Bombyx mori: one gene and its partner. The protein of the gene in region 1 interacts with the protein of each later gene in a biochemical or structural test. Links are inferred from orthologs where the notes say so. Each region holds a gene or a part of one and is shown on either strand. Other genes may lie near its edges.

Region 1 (2,511 bases):
TTAAAAGGATTGATTGATTGACACGTGAGGAGAATGATAATTATTGTCATTCTCCTTATGTGCAAGACTATTCTGGAGTGAAAGGCTCCCATGGTCAACTGATATCTATTCTAGTCTTAATTTATATCACACACTGTATTTTTAATCTGCAAACAAATATTGTTACCATCCCTTGGAACTTGACAAAATTTTCTAGCATCAGTTATTCTGTAAATATGTTATGCTGTTTGGGAAATTGCAACATAAAGTAATAAGTAATTAAAAGTAAAAAGTAAGACTGACGTCGTTGGTCGTCGACTATCGCCTCGACGACCCGTCGGTCGGGCGTCCTCGGGGTGGCGCCGCGTGTCTGGTTGTAGTGTTGACCGCGGGAACCCCCCTACTCTGACCGGGTTTTGACCCCAGACGGAGATCGGACGCCAGGTGTAAGAGTGCAGGGGAGTCGTTTAGTGGGTGGGCCCGCGGTCTGCTCTCAACACCTGCAGATCGTTGAGTCTCACATACCCCGCGCGCCCCCTAGGCGCGGGGACCTCGTAGGAGGTTCGGCCCTCGGCCAGGAAAAAAAAAAAAAAAAAAGGGTTTCACACTCAACTTTATGGAACCTGTGTGCTCTCTTACATATATGGAACATAAATAATTCTGTAAACTCAAGATTGGTAATTTACTAATGAATAATAGTCAATATGAACTATCTGTATGAAGCTACACAAAATATTAGTATAGTATCATATGAAGTTTATCTCTTCAGGTGCTGGTGCTATCGGATGTGAATTATTAAAGAACTTTGCCATGATTGGTGTGGGTGCTGATGGAGGACAAATTACAGTCACGGATATGGACCTCATTGAGAAGTCTAACCTCAACAGGCAGTTCTTGTTTAGGCCTTATGATGTACAGAAACCGAAATCTAGTACTGCAGCTAATGTAAGTTGCTGGATTCGTAATGACATTTGAGATCACTTGTGTACTGCTATAGAGAGCACAAGAGTAGCCATCTACACAGGGTTTGCTTCGAGATTACTCCCTGAACCAGTGAATTTCAGTTTAGTTTCAAATTCAATGTATAAATGTTTTTGCTCGCCTAAGTTTTAATGTTTCCCTAGTTGGTTTCAGATATTACACAATATATATTTTTTTTACTTTATTGCTTATATGTGTGGACGAGCTCGCAGCCCACCTGGTGTTAAGTGGTTACTGGAGCTCATAGACATCTACAACGTAAATGCACCACCCACCTTGACATATAAGTTCTAAGTTCTTAGTATAGTTACAACGGCTGCCCCACCCTTCAAACCGAAACGCATTACTGCTTCACGGCAGAAATAGGCAGGGTGTTGGTACCTACGCGTGCGGAGACACAAGAGGTTCTACCACCAGTAACTATAAATATATACTGTAATACTCAAATACTTTTAATATATTTTTTTTGTCATAGGTAATTAAACGCATGAATCCAGCAGTAAATGTTTTGGCACAAGAAAACAGAGTTTGCCCTGAGACCGAGTCCGTCTACAATGATGCATTCTTTGAAGCATTGGATGGTGTAGCCAATGCACTCGACAATGTCGACGCCCGTATATACATGGACAGACGGTGTGTGTATTATAGAAAACCTTTATTGGAGAGTGGCACTCTTGGAACTAAAGGAAATACACAGGTTAGTAAAATCAAAAGCATTTGAGATACAATTTGAAATAACATGAAACGTTGAATAAAATTAATTGGTTAATGATCAAATATAAATTAGAACCCTAAGAGAAAATAATAGTTATGAATTGATTTAACGTTGTCTAGTACTTATACTGGAAACACAAAGATTTTTAAGTATCATTAACTATTCAAACTTGGTAAATTAAAAAAAAGTTGTTTTGATACTGATATCTGAATCTTCACAATCTTTTAAACATAAATCAATAATATTTCATAATATATAAGTAAAGAAAATATTAAGCAAGATATAATCATATCAAAAGAAATAACATTAATACATCAGTAATTTACGTTTTAGGTGGTTGTTCCATTCCTTACGGAATCTTACAGCTCATCCCAGGACCCTCCCGAGAAGAGTATTCCTATTTGTACGCTCAAGAACTTCCCGAATGCCATTGAACACACACTACAATGGGCTCGCGATGAATTCGAAGGTTTATTCCGTCAGGCTGCTGAGCATGCTGCCCAATACTTGCAGGACCCGAATTTCTTGGACCGCTGTCTTAAATTGCCTGGTACTCAGCCTTTGGATGCTATTGAGAGTGTGCGAGTAAGTGTATATAACATATTTTTTATTACTCGTAGTAAACATACTGTCTACCTAATAACCTGATCACTGCCCTTCAATACAGCTATGCAAGAGTAACGACTATATTAAAGTACTACGCCTTCTCTCATTCAATGTTTCCTAATATCAGTTAACATGCACAGACAAATTTTAGAATGAAAACCCTTCCAAAATGTTTTCCTGTTACTATGAAGTAAAAGGTTGTAGGGGAATGATACCCCGCCCTGCTTAGC
Region 2 (3,281 bases), on another chromosome or scaffold:
AAACCTTTAAAATCCTAAATATCTAATATTACAATTTCTCCATTTTACAATAAGATTCTCTGATTTAACGTGAACACTTCGACTGTCGTATTGCTTCTAACCTTAAAGCGTATTCTACTCGCTCGTAACGAAACACGGTACAGACTCGCACCTTCCCAAAGTGCTAACCGACACTTAACATGTCCATAAATTCGAAAAAAAAGAGGCGTTCTAAATTGATTACTCTTATTTTATTTTTTTTAGTCGAAATATCGAATTATATCGAAGCTCTATCGACTAATAACCCCAAGCGTTCAGAGACCTATGACCGGATCGCAGATGAGACAGGGCTAGTGGCCTAATGAAAAAGACAGCCGGTGCTCTGGTCCAGTGACACGATTATGGCAGACCTGCAGGCAGGTACCTATTTATTTAATGATATGGTAAAGTATAAAAATACAACAAAAAAACAACGATAATCGGGATGGAAATAGTTTGAATATTGGGCGTTAACACAAGTCACTTTTTACCCAGTGCTGGAGCCACTTAAAGTACAGTGTATTCCATGCGGGTAAAGTATAAATGTACAACAAAAAAGACAGTAAAGACACTACCATGAATGACGGGGAAGATGTATCTGGAGAAGAGCCACCCTTTTCTGGTCGTTAGCACCCGGGACCATACCTCGTGACCGGTCTCTTGGCCGTGCTTCATCACGAGCCTCGTTTATTAAGGACGAATCACCAACAATCCTAGGGTCCGTTTACCGTTTTTACAATTCCATAAAAATACAAGAACATCGCTACACACCGACCGCGTTATGCCGAAAAGAACCAACCAAAAAATATATATTTATATATTTCTGATGATCTGGCAAAAGTTTACGTACCTTTTAGGATTAAAAGGCCGTAGTGGTTTTGTGTTGACTTCATGTTGACAGCTGTCCGCGGCAGACGTACTTCAGTATTAAGTTCGTATTTGCCTATCAAGATTCATTGTGTGACCAAACTCACCTGCGAACGCGTTTCGGTCGGTATTAATTTTACCAGGATATTTACAGCCCTTCATTTATAAAGCAACAAGTTTATGGTTCAACGCGGAACTGTGCGAGTACGTTTTCCTGATGGGAGCCCTGACGCTTGTTATGGGTACCTATACTACAGAGCAGCACTAAACTCAGCCGCCAACTGCTAATTGTGAGCACTTGTGAACACGGTAGGCGTTTTCATTTTAGAAAACAATGTACGTTCAATTTCATTACAATTACGTTTCCGAATTAACGCTATGAATATAAATTTTTCTTTAGTCGTAGAAGAGAGTGACTTTGAACTTTTCTACATAAAACGATCGAATCCTTAATTATTTTTTACAATATATATATTTTTTGAAGCTGTCTCTCTGCGTGTGGAAAAATATTTTTATTGGCAACCCCATTATCTTAATATTATCTGTAGCAGCGATTTTTATTATTCAAATACAGATACAACATTAATCTCACTATAGTGCTTTAGTGTTTTGTTTGGTGTCATGTAGTATTATTATTTTAAATTGTAATTGGATTAATACATTGAGTAAGTACATTAGAGTGAAACAAAACGAATTTTGATACGAAAAAAATTAATAGACCACTGAAAATTGAATACACCAATTATATATAGTTTTAATATCTCAATAGTTTAAGAAACAATTATATTCAATCTCTTGTCGTTCGAATACAAAACGAAACAAGCCAAAACGGATACGGTTGTTCAACGATACTTTCAAAAAGTGCGACTTCCGGGTTCGAAATTCGAAAACTAAAACCGTTACAATTCGAATTCGAATCAACGAACGTTTTTATTGTTCTCGTACGCGTTCACAGAGCGGTGGCGGTGAGCGGCCTCGCGCGGGCTGCGGTCCGGGCCAGTCTGTGTTATAACTCCATGTCGTGCGCCTCGTCTTCGCTGAAGTCGCTCATCGAGGACTCCGAGTCCGAGTCGTTGCCGTTGCTCGCCTTGTTGGCGCTGGCCCCGACCCCTGTTATCGCGTCTTTCTCTAGCAACGCTTCTTCTGTGGCGAACTTACGAACGTAGTCTGCGAACCCGAAAGTTTTCGGTTGAGGTTTTTTTTTGAAGTTATACTTTAGGCGCGTTATGAAAAATTGATGAGAGTGAAATTTTACGATGCGCGCGCACCGTGACACAAATTTAACAGAAATGAAGTTGCTCACTAAATCGCTCATTACAATACGACCGACGTAACTTGGCGAGTCTGAATATAGTCGCAGGTGAACTTTCGCGCATGTACACTCGTAAAAAAAGTGTTATTAGCATTCATTTTTTAGTAATATAAATGACAAAATTATTATTTAATATAATTCATACTAAATATTATTAAATTATTAACGTTAAATATTTATTATTAATTATTTAATATTAAAAAAAAAAGAAATAAATTTAATAAAAATAGTATAACTTTTTACGCGCGTACACAAGTACACGCACCCTTGTTTTAATTACTTAGGTGAGTGGGCGAGCTATGGCCCGCCTGTGTGCTTAGTGCGAGTTTTTTAACGTTCTCGATAGCGTAAAAGTTAACTCATATTTGTATGGAATGGAATCGTTTGCCTACGTTTGCCGTTAGGGGCGCTGTTCCAACTGCATATAAAATAGGGTTAACTATTACGCTATCCAGAACGTTAAAAAACTCGCACTAAGCACACTGGTGTTAAGTGGTTACTGGAGCCCATAGACACCTACAACGTAAATGCGCCACCCACTTTAAAGTGATGCAATGTGGACATTTAGACGACTTAGGTTCATTCTTTGCTCAGCAGTGATGGAGACGATGATCTCCTATATATTTAACATGGGTAGGTTCGCTTGTGTTAAGCGATTGTCAGATCCCAGACGACAGCGTGAGTAATTGCTATCTCACCCTTCAAATATCGCGGCAGAAATAGGAAAACTGTTTTCTCAAATAAAAACGAGCAAGATATTATTACACTTATCAGATGCTATGACCGAGTGTTGGATAAGAGATAAGACACATCTGTGACGTTAAAAGTGGATATTAAGATTTATGAAGACTTGGCCATCACCCTGCAGTGTGGTCCCGATCTATATGACCATATTATAGTTGTTCCTGTCGTAAGGAAACTCACCACAGACTTTTTTCTTGTACTCCTCGGGCTTGTGCAGGTACATGGCGGCCGCGTCACCGTTCAGCGGGTCGATCGGGTTCGGGTAGGTGAGCAGTTGCGGCAGAAACGATTCAAATATATTCGATAAGTCTGCAACACACAGACGAGATCAAGAACCTTA

The links. The genes of interacting proteins can lie anywhere in the genome.
Region 2: of the proteins of ubiquitin-like modifier-activating enzyme 1 (region 1) and ubiquitin-conjugating enzyme E2 H, one has a biochemical effect on the other in vitro, tested with the Homo sapiens proteins (3 studies listed by BioGRID, with this or other methods). The link is inferred for Bombyx mori from reciprocal best matches to the Homo sapiens genes UBA1 and UBE2H.

Annotation. Positions count from the first base shown.
Region 1 is NC_085114.1:15,610,872-15,613,382, forward strand, and holds part of ubiquitin-like modifier-activating enzyme 1, read left to right. Parts: intron 1-748; coding exon 749-924; intron 925-1,435; coding exon 1,436-1,657; intron 1,658-2,008; coding exon 2,009-2,260; intron 2,261-2,511. UniProt on the Homo sapiens protein: Catalyzes the first step in ubiquitin conjugation to mark cellular proteins for degradation through the ubiquitin-proteasome system.
Region 2 is NC_085133.1:418,426-421,706, reverse strand, and holds part of ubiquitin-conjugating enzyme E2 H, read right to left. Parts: intron 3,251-3,281; coding exon 3,122-3,250; intron 2,053-3,121; coding exon 1,892-2,052; 3' UTR 1-1,891. UniProt on the Homo sapiens protein: Accepts ubiquitin from the E1 complex and catalyzes its covalent attachment to other proteins. E2 ubiquitin conjugating enzyme that transfers ubiquitin to MAEA, a core component of the CTLH E3 ubiquitin-protein ligase complex.